Caenorhabditis elegans: one gene and its partner. The protein of the gene in region 2 interacts with the protein of the main gene of each other region in a pairwise test. Each region holds a gene or a part of one and is shown on either strand. Other genes may lie near its edges.

Region 1 (8,183 bases), on a different chromosome or scaffold from region 2:
AAAATCAATAGATTTGATGAATATTAGGCAAAAAATGAGAAGAAAATCTTTAAATTTGAGTTTAAAATTCGAAGAATAGAGTTCGTGGCAAGACCCATCGCAAGAATTTGTGCATGCTCCTTTAAAACTACTGTAAGTCTCAAGCAATTTTTAAACTTTTTAAATGAGAATTCGCCAATTCACGGGTTTCTAATTTCCCCCTGTTTTCAAATGGAAGAGGTGGCCGTGAAAAAAGCGAACCTCGACCGGGGGTCGCGACCGGAAAAACTTAACGAAATTTCGCATTTTCGTTGCTTTCTTCGGTTTCAAAACACGTTTTCAATCGATTTTGCATTTTATTTAATACAAAATCAAACGAAAACGTGTTTTGAAACCGAAAAAAGCAACGAAAATGCGAAATTTCGTTGAGTTTTCCCGGTCGCGACCCCCGGTCGAGGTTCGCTTTTTTCACGGCCACCTCTTCCATTTGAAAACAGGGGGGAAATTAGAAACCCGTGCCAATTTTCAATGAAAATCGGTAAAAATTGGAATTGTTAAATAAAAAAATATATAATTTGAAAATTTGAAAAAAAAGACCCGCTAAAATCGTGGCGAGAGCCAATTTAAAGGTTTATTTTTCAAAATTATTGAAAAATAGAGAACAAATATTTTGAGTTTTCCAGAAAAAAACAGCGAAAAAAAAGGAGTCAAGACTTGGGTGGTTTTTTTTTTTTGAAAAATCATGCACAATTTTCAGTACTCGACTGATAGCACATATACACACATAGGAGAGAAGAACATCTAACCCAGGGGTGCGCGGCAATCGAAAATTTCCGGCAATCGGCAATTTCGACAATTGCCGGTTTTCAAAATTTTCGGCAATCGGCAATTTCGGCAATTGCCGAAATTGCCGACAATTCGATTGCCGTACGGCAATTGCCGCGCACCCCTGATCTAACCCCCTTGGCGATGCGAAAATAGCAGTACTGTAATTATAGCCACCGGTCTTTTTTTTGGAATTTTTTTTTTGGTTTCGCGAACGGAAATTCGTAAAAAAAAAGGTAAAATGAAAAAGTAACCAGTGAAAGTGATTGGGAGGATGCACGGGGTTCTGGCTCGACCCCTCGGTGTATTTTGTGCAAACACCGTCACGCGCAAATGCATACACTTTTTCAACGCGCTGCGTGAAAATTCCTCTTGCGAGATCAAATATTTTTTCCCGCCATTTTCCAAAATTTTCGAGAGGGGGGTCGAGCCAGAACCCCGTGAGGATGATATATATATTGATAAGGGAGACCGGTGGAACGTGAGAATTTTGAATTCCCGCGCTGGACTACGGTAGAAAGGTGAAATTGGAATTTTTTGATAGACTCTGGAATTTTCGGTTAAAACACGGAATTCTGGCTTCCCTCATGAATCGAAATGGCAGAGTTTGCCGAATTAGGCCATTTTGGGTCGGAGAGATTTTGTGTAGATTTACGGCGCGTTTTAGTTGTAAAACTACAGTTTGTTGTCCGTGTGGAGTACACGAAAAAAATTGTTTTTGTTTTTTTTGTTGATTTGTATAAAATTTTTTGATACATTTTTTTGTAATAAATAATTGAAAAAATACAATAATAAATTATTATACATTCCCACAATTATGCAAGCTTATTTTAAAGACGCATACACTGTTGGGTCTCGTCACGAATTGCGTGATTTTGGACGCTTCTAGGATCCAAAAGACGTAGATCGTGGCGAGACCTAAAGGTAATTGCCATGACATTTTTTCGACGTATGTATAATAAAATTATTATTATCATAAAATGATAAAAAGTTTCTTCAAAGCAAAAAAATAAATTATTACACATTCTCAAAAATATACTCTCCTATTTTAAAGGCGCATACACTTCTGGGTCCCGCCACGATTCACATAATTTTGGGTTCTTTTAGGATCCAAAAGACGCAGATCGTGGCGAGACCCATCGGAAAAATATGAGTTTTTTTTTTCGATTGGTAATTTTTTGCAATTTTTGCAAAAAACATGCACCTTTCATCAGCTGGCATTTTTTGGCGAATGTATAATAACACTTTTTTGTCCTGCCACGATCCACGTAATTTTTAGTGATTTTAAGCTTCAAAAAGTCGAAATCGTGGTGAGACCCAAAGTACAAAAAATGTGTGCGCCTTTAAACTGAGATGAAATTTTTCGACGAATGTATAATAATTTTTTTCCAAATTTTTCACAGCACCTTATTACAAGATGGCCCAATTGGCCATAGTCCTTCGGCTCGACATTCTTGAAGAATTTGTAAAAACCCCATTGGTTTTTTTGGCCTGAAAATCTATTAAATTTTGGGACCGAGGCGTGTGAACAAGATAGGAAATAGAGGTGAAAACCTGAGAAATTATCGATTTTTTTGTATAGCCGTTAAATATAGAATAAAAATGTTGAAAAATTGGTTGAAGCGGAAATGTTTGGGGCAATTTATAAGGGGAAAAGGGATTTTTAAATTTCTAAATTTTGGAATTTTTCACTAGAAAAGAACCGTTAACTGAGAAAAATTCTAAAAATTAGCTTAAACTCGGCGGAATTTCAATTTTTTCGAAAAAAACTTGATTATGAAAATTCCAAAAACTTTCCAAAAATTCGAAATTTTGAGCCAGCTTCTTCTAGAAATTTTCTCAAGGAAGTTTCAACAGAAAAATCAATTTTTTGAGAAGAATATGAATTTTGAGCTCAATTTCACTCAATTTTCAGGGATTTTCTGAAAGTAAAAATTTTCAATTATTTGAGAAAAATAGAATTTCCGGATCAACTACACTATAAATTCTAGGAATTCAGGAAAAAAATAAATTCCAAAAAACCGAAATTTTGAGCCAACTTCTTCAGAAAATTAGCTTAAAATTCGTGGAAATTTAAAAATAAAAATTAACAGATTTTGGGCTCCAAAATACCAAATTTCTGGCTCAATTTCCCTCAATTTTCACGGATTTTCTAAAAATAAAAATTCTTTAAAAAATACCAAAAAAAAATTTTTGAGCCAGTTTTTTCAAAAAATTAGCTAAAAATCAGAAAAATTCCAAAAATTTTAATTTTTTCGAGAAATCTGGCCATTTTTTTTTCTATTTTTCAGTAAATGTTTTGGAATTTCCTATAGAAAATCGGGGAAAAATTTAAAAATCCAAATTTTTAAAAAAAGAAGTTGGGCTCCAAGAATCCCCTGAAAATGGGAATTTTGGGCCGATTTTTACGGAATTTTTACAATAAAAAAACGGAGGAAAGTGCAAACGGAAAAATGAGACACAGAAAATAAAATGGAAATAAAAGAAGGATCAAATTGAGCACAAGTCAAGGGCGTCGGCGAGCAACTCTTTCTCGATATCGTTCGACGGGTCCATTTTGAGTGCGAGCTGAAACATTCCAATGGCGGCTTCTTTGTTTTCATTGTAAAGAAGCGCTTTGCCCAGGTGTACAATATTATCGATCCAATACGGTATGAGATCGAAAGCGGATCTGAACTGATAAATGGCATCGTCGATAGCGTCATATGGGGTGGCATAATGATGAATTAACTGTTGTCGGTCAGACTCCCAAATCTCCAGTGCTGAAAGAGCCCAACGGCCAAGAATATTATTGTACATTGCATTTTTTCCTGCCTGGATAGAGATGGCACGATCGAGATATTGTCTGCAGTGTCTCATCTCCAGATTCTTTTCATCGCCTTCAAGATATTCGATTGCCTTTCCTGACATCACAGCGGCCCAATGAGCAGCCAAGATGTTGTACGAATCGGTGTTCCAGGCTTCGGTAGCGTACATCTTTCCTTTGATTATGATGTCCTTTCTCTTTTCCTTCTCAACAAAATTTCCAATTTTTGTACACAATTTTGCCAAACGACAGAGAAGATCGATGGACTTCTCTCCAGAATCGTATCTCTGCAAATTTCGAATTTTATTTCATTGTTTAAATACAAATGAATAGTCTACCATCTTTAAAGCTTCAAAACAGTCGATATAGAAGTCACGAGTAATCATTGGAGAATCAACGACAGCAATCTGAAATCGAATAATTTTTCGTTAAAAAGAGTATCAAAATTTTAAAACTGTCACATCAAATTTGAATTTAGCCAAGCCCGTGAAAAATTCCCTCTCGATTTCGGATGCCAAAAATTGGCTCGAATCGAGAGATATTCGGGAGATGCTGGAATCAAATAAGACCTACTTTCTTTTAGATTTCCGCCGATCACCACAAAAATGAAAAGAGTGGGTAATACATGGCGGCCGACAACCCACGGGTTCCGCGCCTCGCTCTAAATTAAGTCAATTAAGCCACACCCTATCAGTTGGTGTGCTTTTGAAGGGCGTGGCTTAATTTACTTAATTTATAGCGAGGCGCGGAACCCGTGGGTTGTCGGCCGCGATATATTACCCACTCTTTTCATTTTTGTGGTGATCGGCGGAAATCTAAAAGAAAGTAGGTCTTATTTGATTCCAGCATCTCCCGAATATCTCTCGATTCGAGCCAATTTTCGGCATCCGAAATCGAGCGGAGTTTTTCGCGGGCTTGGCTGGATTCAAATTTAAGGTGACAGTTTTAATATTTTACTTTTAATATAATACTTAACTGTATAAAAAACCTGAACTGCCTACTGTAGAACTGGCGTCGATGTATTGGCTTGCTATTTGTAATTTTCTGATCAAATTGTGACAGCGAAATTCAAGTTGTTGTCATTTTTGTGATTTCTTTTAATTTTTATCGAATGATTTCCGTAAGTCGCCGCTAGTGATACAGTAGTCTTTGAAAAAGTTACTGTAGTTTTCGATACAAGATATTTTGCGCAAAACGCATTCTCAGATAAAATAAAATTATCATCTGCTCCTTACCAGCTTTTCCGTGCTCGTGTTTCCCCAATGACGAATAACCGCTCGCATGATCACTGAATTGAATTCTTCAATCACATCACCGGATACTCTCACTGCTGCAATTATGGAATCTACAATTCTGAAATATTATATTTATTTTAGCTCTGAGATAACAACAATACCTAGTATTTCTAATTTTTGGATCATCGAATGTTTGAGCATTTTCGTGAGCTAAAAGAGTATGCTCTTTGGCCTCTTCTGCAGAGCCAAAGCTCTCTTCGCACTCTGAACACATGTGTTCCAGATGATGATCCGCAGTGAGATGATCGTCCCTGAAACAAAAACCGGTGATTATGCAATACAATGTTTGACTTACAGTTTGGAAAGCGAAAAAAGTCCACAATCTCCACGTGGGCACGCAAAAGTGTGAGCCATTTTATGTTCAAAAATAAAAATCTGAAAGTTCAAAAAATTAGGAATATTTCAGAACATTCATGCCATATAAATTACGAGCCTTCAGAATCACTAAATTTTTTAGGAGGACGAATGTGTGAAAGATATATGAAACTATAATACGTGAAAAATATTTATAAGAGTAAAACGTCGTTTAAAAATGAGAAAAAAGAAGATAAAATGCGGTAAAACACCGCGAAATTATTCAAATCACTCGATTCGCGCCTTTTTCCTATGCGCAGTAGAGCGCTTTTGCTTTGGAGACGTTGCTGTATTATGAGATAAATGAGTGTGCAGAAACGGGAACGCAGGATAATTATAAATTATTGTAAGGATCTGATTTGAGCATAGTGGGAAAAATTTTAACAATTTGGTTTTCAATTTATTTTAACTCTGAATAAAAGAAAATATTAAAAATTGGGCGTGATGTTTCTATTTATGGGAATAATTTTCTCTCGAATCAATATCTATGAAACTTGCACTTCACCGAGGCGTGGTCTCTCCTCTCTTTTTTTTTCCTTTGCCATTTTCGCATTTTTCTTGTTATTCTCTCAAGAAACACGCGAAAATTAACATTTTTTGCAGATGGTGACCAAAAAGAAGGCACGGAAAAACGAAGATTTCAAAAAAGTCAAGCTGAAGGTGGGAAAAAAGCTGAAAAAAACGACGACCACCGACACGACTATCAAAGGTGAGTTTTCACCCGATTTTCGCGAATTTTAATTCATTTTTTCAGCAAAACGAGTAGTATTGGCGACTCAGTTGGAGGAAAAAGTGGAAACAGATGATAATCCACTTAGTTTCCGTGGTCTAACGCTCGATGAGCTCTGCAAGCAGATGGGGCACTTTAATGCGGTAATTTTTCGCTGAATATCGATCAAAATTAATAAATTCTCGTTCAGAAAGTGAAAATGAACGCTATTCAAGGACTAAAACAGATTTTAACGTCTCGCCCGGATCTTGTCAACGTCCAGTTGAGGCTTTTGGTTCCCTGCGTGGCTGTGCACGTGGCTGACGCTTCTTTCGAGCCCTCCACACGTCAGAATCTACTGAATCTCTACAAAATTCTGTGTACAGCTTCAATTCAAGCAATGTCGGCTCATATCACACTTTTCCTGTCCCACGTGCTCCGCGCTCTAACGAATATCGTCACAGAGTGAGTGGATTTTTTCTGAAAAATGGGAAATTTTGAATTTTCAGAGTCCGCCACCTCGCACTGAGCACACTTTCGGTGCTTCTCGATCGATATCCGAGCCTTTGCCGGAATCATGCCGATCTCTTCCCCTGTTTTATCAATTATCTGGGCAGTTCGAAGCGTCTGGCGTGGAATAAGCCGGGATTAATCGATACAATTCTCAATTTCATCAATGTTCGTAGTTTTTTGCCTGGAAATTGCGAAAAATTCACTAGAAATTCGAGAAAATCGATTTTAAACTGCATTTTTATGTGTGGTCCTGGAAAACACAAAAAAACCAGAAAAAAATGAAGAAAAATCGATAAAAAATCCGATTTTGCAGCAAGAATCAGAGCAAAATTGCAATTTTGCGCTGAAAAAACTTAAAAAATGGATTAAATTCTGTATCTTTCGGTAAAAATCTTGGAAGTTGACTGAAAATCCGAAAAATAAATTTTTAAACTTGAACTTTCTGTTTAAAACACAAATTTTCGACTGAAAACTAGTGAAAAATTCAAATTTTGTGGTTAAAAAAGCTGAAAACTCAGCGATTTCCCAGAAAATTGATATTTTTCAGTAAAAATCTTAGAAGTTGGCTGAAAATCCGAAAAATACATTTTTTAAATTGCAATTTTCAGTTGAAAACTCCAAAAAATTACTAAAAACCACAAAATTTTGACCGAAACCTGTTAAAAATGGCAATTTTATTGTAAAAAAGCTGAAAATTCACTGGCATCTAGTTTTTTTTCAGAAAAAATACTGAAAATTGACGAAATTTGCAGTTTTTTCAGTGAAAATCTGGAAAAAATGCACGAAATCTCGTAATTATTTCATTTAAAAGCTTGAAAATTCGCTGAAAACTCTAAAAAACTTCGAAAAAATATTTTTTTTTTCTTTCAGATTTACGATATAAATCGAGAACGACACGTGGATCCTTCCACCCTGGAAATCCGATTCGAAAATGAGAAAATCGAGGGAAAAAGTGATTTGAAACGAGTTTTTGTGCAGGTTTTTGCAATTTTTCCACGTAAAAAAGCCTAAAATTCCATAAATTTCAGAATCCCGACGTGAGCCCATTCGAATTTGGAGTTGTGAGCTCATCGAAATCCAATGCAGTTTCACCATTTGAGCTGCCGGATGCTTTGCTCAATTTGGCAAATGTACTGGCGCCAATTATTTGTACGGATTTTGCAGATTTTTAGCTAAAAATCGGGAATTTTGAGTAGAAAACCGATGAAAATCCAGGAAATTTGCTTTAAAATTGCTCCGAAACCGCTAAAATTGATCACAGTTCGTAATTTTCCGTCGAAAATCAGGAATTTTGCTGAAAAATCGGCCATTTTAGCTTAAAAACCCAAGAATTTCTCTCTTAGCTGAAAATCCACTAAATTTGTTTAAAAAAATGTCCAAAAAAATCTGAAAATGGGATTTTGAAAGCATTTAACCGATTTTCAGACTGAAAAATCGAAAATTTTCAATAAAACTTCATAAAAGTGAGCTCAAAATGCTCCAAAAAAGCAGAAAAACTTAAATTTTAGCGAAAAATTACAATTTTCAGCTGTCTTCCAACGTTTCTATGCATTTTTCACAATTTTTGAGGTGAAAATCCAGCAATTTCGCTTGAAAAATATTCCGAAATCGGTAAAATTGATTGGTAACTCCGAATTTTCCGTCGAAAATCAGGAATTTTGATGAAAAATCAGGCATTTTAGCTTAAAAACCCAAGAATTTC
Region 2 (9,988 bases):
GAAGTTGAAGGAACTTTTGGAGTGAAAGATGATGAGTTGAAAGCAATTTTGACACAAAGCAAAAGTATTGAACAGGTTTGTAAACTTTAGGCAATACACATCTAGGGAAATTAATTCAATATCTGTTTCCAGAAATACGGGCACCTTTTCGATGGAATCATAGTCAACATCGATTTTGAAAAATCATTCCGTGAGCTGAAGCAAATTCTAATGAAAGTGAATACGGAGCCAATGTGGGTGCCGGCTACATGGACAGCGTGCTAATTTGTAATCGAAAAAATCATAATTATCGGTTCGTCGAGTACTCCCAAAATCATAAAAATCGATATCTAGTCTTCAATTGTCATCATCTCTCCCCGGTCTTTGTATTCTTAAAATTCCCATTGATCAGATCATTCCCATTATGACGCTTTTATTGTTTTGGATTTTTTAATTCTACACATTCCCCTATGGGTATTTTATGAGCTGTGATTTTGTTTTCTTTGAATAATCATGAATAATTAAAAACAAGTTTGCAAATGTTTATTTTGATGAATTGTTTTTTTTTTGATTACATCCAAAAGATATGAGGTAATCCGAAAAAGATGATTATTGCAAAAGGCACTGTTGAAATGAACAAGTAAAACCAGAAAATGCAGGTAAAAAGGCACTGTATGAGCAGATATTGCAATGGGATGAGAAATGTTTGAAAACAAAGGATTGATTATAAGAAAAATGAGAAAAGAAACCGAAATCGAATCGAAAATTTAAAGGCCTCGGATATACACGAATTTTTAATTTTTGGGACGTTGTGAAAATGTATAAATTATTTAAAAAAAAACAAAAGGTTATTGGAGAAATAAAAACTATTTTTAACTAATTTTTTTATGTGGAGGTTTTCTTGTAAACTAAAAAATTCTAATTTTATTTGACATGTTTAATCAGAAGAGACACCATCATCATCTTCTTCCATCTCCTCATCTTCAGGAGCTTCAGATGGTTCACCATCTTCACATTCCTCTTTCAGATATTTCTCAATTCCACCAATTTTGAGATCTCCACCGGATGCAAGGATTTGCCTGAAAATTGTGATTTGTTGAAATTGAATTGTTGCGTTTGTTTTTAAAAAATGTTAATCTTGTAAATGTTTCCAAATTGAAACATCAATGTTTCTGTGGAATATAACTCACAATTTTTCGATATCAGATCTCGTTGGCAACGGATGATCGATGAAAAAAGCAGGGAAGCATTGGCCGAGCTGTTTCTTGATCTCCTTGATATGCCCCAATCGATTGTCTACACACCGTTCAGCACACAAAGGATGACTCTCGCGCATATGCTTCATTACAGTCTCCTTGCATTGGTTTCCAAAAGAACACGCCGAGCAAGAGTACAGCTCAACACCATCCATATGAGTGTAAGCGTGCTCGGGAAGGCGACTATTTGTCTGTTTTCCGCACTTTTCGCAGTAGCAGAATTCATTAACCTTCTTTTTGTAAAACTGAGCTCCACCGATAAGAATCGAAACGGAACGAGCAACTACTGCGTCTTCCTTCTGCTTTTTTGACTTTTTTGATCGAATATTGAAAGCTCTTCGCCATTTTTTCTTGGAGCTCTTTGAGCTAGTGATAGGAGTTGTTTCTTCTCCTTCACCATCATCATCTTCATCTCCTTCTCCATCTTCGTCCTCATGCTCCTGCTCATGTTCCACTTCATCGTCTTCTCCCAACTCTTCCATTTCCTCATCATTAAGAATCAGAGGCTTCTCCTCTTCTTTGATAGCACTATCATTCGACGCTTCCTCATCAACTGGCACAGCCGGTGAAGCTTCGTGACTACTACTCACCATTGAAACCAGATCTTTGTGTTCACGAGGGGCTGCCGCCGGGAATTTGTTCTTCCGTTTGCTCTCCTGAGCAAAAAGCGAGGAGATTCCGAAACAGGACGCGGACATTTCCTTGACATCGTCTTGATACTCTCCAATACGATCCTCGACACAATCGTCAGTTCCATGCTCTTTCTTTCCATGGACTTGCACAGATTGGGAGCGATCATGCCCAAAGTTGCAGTATTTACAAGTGTAGCGATTGATTCCTTTATCTTTGGCCATATGCCACAGAATGTGGAAGCCACGGATCTGAAACGAAAGTTTTTAGTAAGACATCCGGTCTATTTGTTAAAGGTGCAACTTTTACTATGATTTGTTGATATGAAAGGTATATTAATTTGCGTTAAAATGCAGTTTTAAAAGTGTTTATTTTGTATTTTTTGAAACAGTACAACCGAAAACTCACTCTATTCTGCATGGTTTTTCCACAAAGTCTGCATTGAAGTGGATGATCTTCATCTGGTACAAGCTTCAGAGGTCCGAAACCTAAATTAAAATTTATTTTATAAATATTCGTGTTGTCTGCTTGTTGTATTCGATTATTTTAGAGCAACGCCGATCATTTTCCCTCAATTTTTTGTTTCAGAGAATTTGTGAAATTCAGTATCATATTTTATTATTGCGTTGGTGATTTGTTTCACAACCGATTTGTTGGGGAGAGAGATTGAGGAAGTCAATGGTATTGGTCAAAGTAATCTAAAAATCAGGGGACACATAAAAAAATTACATTGTAAAAGTAACAACCAAATGAGGAGATGAATTGTGAATAAAAAAAAATAAATGAGACGAAAATTCAAAGATCGCTGGGATTTGTTGTGCTCTAGGGGGGGATAGGGGAAACCATAATATCAAGAAAAATTGAGAAAAATCACAAATGGGTAACCTAGAATGAAACTATGATAAATATGAAAATGGGTAGAAGTTGAAGAAGAGAAATTTTGAGAATAGAAAAAAAAATGAAGAATGAGGTAAAAAAGTGGAGGGTCAGGTCACAACACGATAAAAAAACGGAACGAAAAATAGAAAAATAACCGGGCTCACCACAACGATTACACAATATTGATTTAAAGAGAACACTAGTAAAAATGGGAGATCAGATGGAGAAGGGCGCCGTTTTTTGTCATAACAGGAAAGTTCATGGGGAAAGTATAGAAAAATAAATAAAAAAGTTAATGAATGAAGCAGAAAGAAAACGGGGCAGACAGGTAATAAGAACTCAACTTCGGTGTGTAACGGTCACATTTTGTGCAAACTTTTCATAACTGATTTTTAGACAATTTTCAAAAGATTTTTTACCGCAAAAACTAATTTTGCAAACTTTTAAAACTCAAATCGGAGGAAACAACCGGCGCGCTCTTCTTCTCATCACCCATTTTCTGATTGGAGAAGCAAACAAAATAGAAGGTTCCTAATGAACATTTCCTGACATGACAACTACAACAACATCGGTTTACGGAGACAACAACGGTCCGATGGTTATCTTGAAATCTGTACCGTTTGAAGTGCTACCAGCAGTGCCTGCGGTTGAAGAGCAAAGACTTGACAATCCGGGAAGTTTCGACTTTTGTGAATTCTGAAATTTGTGGAGGTGGAAATGAGAATAGAGAGATGAGAAGGTAGGAGGAATAGGAGGAGGAAAGATGGATAGGAAAACACAAGGATATCACACTCAGGCAATAGGTTGTTTAGAAAGTTTGGATAGATTAGAGTTCTAATTACTTCCCAAAACTTTTGAAAGTTTTCAGAGAGCGGGAGGAAAAAATTAATCACACAGCAAGTAAAGAATTTGCAGGATTTGAAGATTGTGACGTAGTAGATGATATTCCGTGACCTCTGGATCTTACCCGTTGAGCGTTGGCTGCTTGTTGTGCTGCATAGGCGATTTCAGCTTTTGCGGCAGTCGGTCCGGGTATCGTTCCATTTTTAGTTCCGAGCAGTTCCATGGAGAGATCCTGCAAAACCCGGGCACATAGATTTCACTCGGTTAGTGAGGTTGGGGAGGGAGGTTTTGTTTATGGTTGTTTTTCTAGTATTTTTTGAAAGATATTCATTTTGTGAGAGGGTGGAAGAATTACAGATGCATGCCAAGCAAAAAATGCAACTTAAATTGGGAATAAATTAAGTTGGCTGATATGGAAAGTCAACTTAATTCACCACCAATTTTTATTCACAGACACATTCACAAATCACAAAACCATGCAGATATTAGAACATATCACCAAACGTAGAAGTAGATGGAGTGGTTAGACGAAGGATTGATAGTTACAAGATAGAGATAAGTGAGACCAACACCAAACGACACCAACCTGGTAGCCGGCCAAATCAGCCGAACCACCCGTCCACTGCGGGCTCGCGCGATGTCCGTGACGATGTGCAACGAAAAGCTCGTGATTTAACTCCTGGAAGAGATAGAGAGATGGTGTGTTTGTTCAGTTGAAGTTGATTCGAATGTAGTTGAATGGTTGAGTTGGTTTTTGGTTACTAGTACGATAACAACACAAATGCGCTCATTTCTTTTGGTTTTCTATTAGTGTGAAGCTTTTAAAGAACGATATATGTATATGTTTAACATTCTGAAAAATCTGAAAAATGTGCTTCTAGTAATAGCTCGATAAAATACTAATTCAAAACTATAAAATTACGGCTTACAACATATAGTTTTACAACATTGACCAAATAATAAGTGACTGATAAGTGATTGGGTGAGAGCGCAGATGCGAGTATTCCAAACTAACCTGACACTTTTGAAACAATTCCAGCGAACGATCCTCCATCATATCTGGATCAATTCTGCCATGGGCTTTCGACTGATGATTCTCCATTTGATCTTTACGGTAATGCTCGACACTACATCCCTCATGCTTGCAGCGGAAACGGAAAATCAGTTCATCCTTCGCCAAGTGGAAGAACATGTGCATTTGTCGGGCTCCAGCAGTCACGGGCTTCTGACATTTAGAGCATTCTCCGAGCACACGCTTTTTCGAAATGCTTGACGTCTTCTTTGTTTCCGTTTCAACACTTCTATCGGGAGTGGAGCCAAAGAGAGCGGCGACGTTATCGAGAACAGAGATTGGATTCAACGAGTCCAACAAGGGATCTTCATCGTGTGGCATCTCACCGTCATCATACTTTGTTTTTCGGGCGCCTCCACCGAAAAGCGTTGCGAGTGTGGAAGTGCTGTCAATGTTGAGATCGTCGACAGAGAACAATGTAGCTGCAACTAACAAAAATCTTTAATTTGGAAATTCTCGAAGCAAGATGCGAGTTTTTTGTTGTTTTTTTTTCAAAAACCGTCATGTAATTTTCAAGAAAGTAATCAACTAGCGAAACTTTGAAACTTCAATTTTTGAAAACTCACGGTGATCATTTTCCTCATTTTCAGGTGTCTGGGCATGGCTGAAAGAGTTCAAGCTGGCCAAAAACGATTCCGCACTCGGAGCAGCCAATTCCATAGTTGTTATGGCTTCGGTGGCAGATGTGGGCACATAGGGACGTTTTCTGCCACTGGAGCTTCTTGTGGAAGAACTTTGTGCTTTATGTTCACCAATTTCTCCATTAATTCCAGTAAAATCGAGAAGCTTGAGAAAGTCTGCAGTAGCTTGAGCCGTTTGCTTCTCTTTTTCTTTGTGATGATTTACAATTGCAGTAGCAGCAGCTTGAGCCGACGCAGTTGCAGCTGACGTGGCACTACCATTCGAAGTTGAGGTGTTTCTTCCGGAAGATGGTGAAGAGTTCATTCCACGGTGATAACTTGTCGGTGAGTATGGAGATGCAGATGTAGAAGAAGATGGATGATTTTTTGCATTCACTCGTTCCGAGACATTCAGTGAGAATGCACTGTCCATCAGAATTTGTAATCTCCGTTTTGCTTTCACATTGTCCACATAAATGAACTTGCTCATATTTTTCTGATGTGATGAATGAAGATGCTCTCTCATTTGTGCATCAGAAGCTCGTTCTACGAGACACATTGGACATTGAAATGGAAGCCATTTGAGATGTTCTGTCTTAATGTGAATCTCCATTTCTTCTGAATTAGCTTTTGTGACTCCACATTCAACACAACTCAATTGCATCGAAGGAGTATGGTTGGAGATGATGGTTGGATCGGTTGGATAAAGTCCACTGTTGGATGTTAAGGATGTTGAAGTAGTGTTCCCATTCTGTTTCAGACGATTTGCAATATCCTCGATTCCATTTTTTGAGCCATTGGAGGTCATTGAGACTGAAAAAGATTTATACAGAGTTTTCTCCAGAAGTAAATTGATAATAATAGTTTCTCGTTGTTTTTGTTTTCTAATTTCAATATAGATTCTCCGAAGATTCTGATAAAAATTGAAACTTTTCCCAAAAACGTGATGAAAAAGTATAATAGTTTTCAAATTTAAACATTTCCAACAGATTGTTCCAGAAGACGTATTATAATTTTAATATAAAAAACCAACCTGTTGCGTTGATACTCTCGAGAAAATTTCGACGACTTTCCTCAAAAACGTCTAACTGGTCGGGAGAATTTGATAGACTTGCGTTCAGTATAATCTCGTTGTCCTCTCCGCTGATGCTCATCAGGTGATCTGGAAAACATAGTTGTTGAGAGCTCGCAGCTTCCTTCACACAGTTTGCACAGTGACAGAGAGCACTGCTGCTCCTCAATGTTGATTCGCCGATTTTTTTTTTGAGAATATCTACGCCGAAACGAACGAAACGACAGCGAAAAAGCGACAGATATTTGCGGCGCGGAGAGCTGTCTTCTTCTTCTTATTCTTCAAAAACAGAAAATGAAGCAGCGCCTCTTACCTGGTGTTGACGATCACACGACGAGTCTCGTGGAGAAGGAAAGCAACGATGAGAAGTGTAGGTACGCTGAAAGAAAAATGAGAAAATGAGAGAATTCGGAAGAGGAGAAGATGAATGAAAGAATGCTCGTACAAAGCGTCAGGAAGAAGAAGAAGAAGAAATTGATAACGGGGTGATGATGACGGAGAAGAGGAGGTGACGAGGAAAGAAAGTGGCGTCGCCCCGGTTGACGAGGTTTTATGAGCCGGCAAAATTGCGAAACGGCACGCCGATACACTTCTGAATACAAAAAATTTTTTAGCAAGTGGTTGAACTTTTTTTAAAAACAAAATTGATAAAATGCATAGGATAACAGTATTCAATTTGCAATGGAAATATTCTAATAAAAATTTTCTTGAGGAACAATTTAAAATTTCAAACGATGATGGAAGAAGGCAAAAAAAGAAGTTAGAAAACAATTCATAGCAATTACCAGCTCACATTTTCGGAACTTCTTGTTTATTAGATGAATACAACATCTACAGTAATCGAAAAAAGCAACCTAGATTTTTACATGTATTGACGTGATGAGGTGATTATGATGATGATGATCACCGGGATGAAGAAAATAAGAAGAAGAGAAAGAAACCGGAGGAGACATCTGACGCTCTGACTCGAAGAGATGGCTGCGTCTGTTGGCAGCAGCCGTCCCAACGAGAAGAAGAGGAAGAAGAGGACATTGGGGGCACCGAGCCCACCGCCATCATCACAATACAGCGCACACACACACAAGCACACATACTGACACACACACGACGACCGATCGACCGCACACAGGCACACACAGAGCGGGTGGAGACTGCACACAGTGTCCACAGAAGACGGCGACGACGGTTGATGACGATGACGGCGCGATCGGAAAGCGAGATGCGGAGAGACGCAGAAATATGGAGACACAAGCTGGACGTCGATCCGAGGAGAGGCAAACGCCCGGGAGAAGAAGGCGGGCCCCCTCCTCTCAGTCGTCTCGGAGTGATCGCGGTCGTCGCCGTTGGCTTTGTGTCGGGGTATGTATGCGGGAGGCAACAACGACGACGCCGATGATGGAGACACACACGGGAGGCTTTGAGACAAGAGATAAAGAGTGTGCAGAGCGGTGAGACGCAGTGAAAGACACTGTCCCGGAATGGAGTTGAGTACGTTTACGGTCAATGAGAATAGAGCTAGGCAAATGAACGTTTATAGTTAGAAGAAGTAGAAGAGGAGGGAGGATGATGATAAATAATTAGAACACTACATTTCTACAGTAATCCTTCAAAAGTTTCTTGCTTTTAAACTGCTTCGCTTGAGCAGTGTTTTCAGATCCAATTTTTGGGGCATTTTTCCTGTTATTACTAGTGTCAAATCGAAAATCACAAAGAGTATCAGCAGGTAATGTCAAAACAATTGTGTTGTTTCGTAGTTAAATGTACATCGGTTATGTGCCTTTTTCATCTAACTTATAGTTAGGATATAGTTGAATACATGTACAGATGAATGACGTGGTGCAAAGGTGAATATATTCAAATGTGCGGCGTCGCGTCGGAGACCCCACGCGCCTCTGCCCTCCATGGTGGGGCTGTGGGATGCCTGATGCAGATGCACATAGGAAACTGCCTGCTGCACACTATTTCGTTTTGGTATCGATTCATTGATACATACTTCTGATGCAGCCGCCAGCCATCGTGGAGGACGAGAGACGAGTCGTGCAACATGCCCTCAACACTGATATGATAACAGACACTCTTTCGTTATGTCGACGAATCGTTCTTCTCGTCGTTGATGATGACAACTTCGAGAAGAACACACATAGACTAACATCCATTGAGAGGGGGGTTCAGAGCTATTCGGAGATGGAGTAGGATTTTCTCGAAGCGGAGTTGGTGCGCTCCATTTGTCAAGTGTCTTTGTAGAGAATACACAGAAAAAGCACAGTGAGGAGGAAAGTGCCTCTCTCGCACGCGGGCGGAAGAGCAAGAGAGCCGGTGTATGTGCTCCATCTCTTCATTCCCGCGCGAGAAGCAAAGAGTCAACTTCTTCTCTCTTCTTCTCCCACCCCGCTTCTTCTCCTTCTTCTTATTCTTCTTGCAGCTAGTCAGTCAGTATCGAGGAGAGCAAAATAAACATTCCAACGTCTGTCCTCTTTTCATCGTCTTCGTCTTCTTCTTCAAAGATTCTCGGCCGATTGGGATTGACTGACTTGACGGGAAAGACGGGAACGTTGAGTGTACAGAAGGATAGCGGGAGGTCGCGCAACATACAGACACATACTGTTGGAGAAGTCAGTGAAGAAGAAGAAGACGAATGGAGAAGAAGGCGAGGACGATGGTGACGAGGAAGGGGAAGAGTAAAGGGAACAGAAAAAGAAAAAAGAGCGTCGATGGTAAGGACAGAAAAACCAGCAGAATATACGGAAAAGTGATACATATTGAGATGTGGATGAATGATGTGGTGAAGGTTGTCACCAAAATTTTTAGAAAAAAACAGGAGATAGATGAGTGGGTGGAAGTTATCGTGTATCTAAAATGGTGTCTTCTTTTGTTGACCGAAATTATTATTCAGACTACAAGAAATAAAAGTTGCATAACCACAATCCAACATTTTAATTTTGTGTCGAATTGGGGTATGTTGGAATGTTTATTATTATACCTTTCATTTCCAATTCTTCTTCTAGAAAAAATTTAGAAGTCATATCACCTTCTAGTTTTGCAATTGTTTGGTCTGATAAGTGATTTCTCATTTTGAGATGGGAATTACCTAGATAACTAGAGAGAACTATAACTGTATTTTGTACTTTTCGAATCATAACATACTTGAGAGCAAATAGCTACAAAAATAACATCTACAGTAGTAACATAATTGGATGGCGTATTTCTTTTAAAAAATCAGAATAGAAAGAAGACGTCAAAGTGGTGCGACGGCTCCCTGGTTTCCATGCCTCATTCTCACTAATCGCCTTCTATTCAAGGGATTCTCCTCGCCGCGAGAATTCATAGAATCATCCAAAGAGCTCACTTCTCACACGGCACCAAAACATGTTGTGATAAAGCTGATAAGATAGCGATTCAGATGACTATGAAAAGTGAGAAAGGAGGAGCTCTTCTTCTCTTCAAAATGGGGATTAGATGGGAGACCGGAGGAAACAGAAACGAAAAAGAAGACTCTGGACGACGATGACGAAGGAGAAGAAGAAGGAGACGCATCCCCCCGGAGACACTCACCCACACATGTCTTCTCTTTTCTTCCTCAAGATGCTCAACGCAGATTCTGGAGCGCCCTGGAGCACAAGAGAGGGCTCCAAAACGA

What was found.
Region 1: the proteins of sup-37 (region 2) and sup-35 interact in a two-hybrid assay, tested with the Caenorhabditis elegans proteins (2 studies listed by BioGRID).

The regions. Positions count from the first base shown.
Region 1 is NC_003281.10:11,113,941-11,122,123, forward strand, and holds sup-35 (Regulator of microtubule dynamics protein 1), read right to left. Parts: upstream 5,287-8,183; 5' UTR 5,260-5,286; coding exon 5,201-5,259; intron 5,157-5,200; coding exon 5,007-5,156; intron 4,964-5,006; coding exon 4,846-4,963; intron 4,545-4,845; exon of another isoform or gene 4,421-4,544; intron 4,018-4,420; coding exon 3,949-4,017; intron 3,898-3,948; coding exon 3,295-3,897; 3' UTR 2,283-3,294; coding exon of another isoform or gene 2,211-2,282; 3' UTR 1,814-2,210; downstream 1-1,813. Other genes in the region: Y48A6C.4 (Pre-rRNA-processing protein Ipi1 N-terminal domain-containing protein), read left to right, coding at 5,863-5,968, 6,014-6,132, 6,180-6,433, 6,478-6,646, 7,352-7,459, 7,510-7,630.
Region 2 is NC_003283.11:8,783,293-8,793,280, reverse strand, and holds sup-37 (C2H2-type domain-containing protein), read right to left. Parts: upstream 6,737-9,988; 5' UTR 6,665-6,736; intron 6,442-6,664; 5' UTR 6,434-6,441; coding exon 6,313-6,433; intron 6,093-6,312; coding exon 5,226-6,092; intron 5,082-5,225; coding exon 4,603-5,081; intron 4,267-4,602; coding exon of another isoform or gene 4,174-4,266; intron 3,820-4,173; coding exon 3,712-3,819; coding exon of another isoform or gene 3,634-3,711; exon of another isoform or gene 3,441-3,633; coding exon 3,362-3,440; exon of another isoform or gene 2,354-3,361; coding exon 2,274-2,353; intron 2,117-2,273; coding exon 1,170-2,116; intron 1,059-1,169; coding exon 917-1,058; 3' UTR 505-916; downstream 1-504. Other genes in the region: magu-2 (MAGUK p55 subfamily member 5), read left to right, coding at 1-75, 133-264.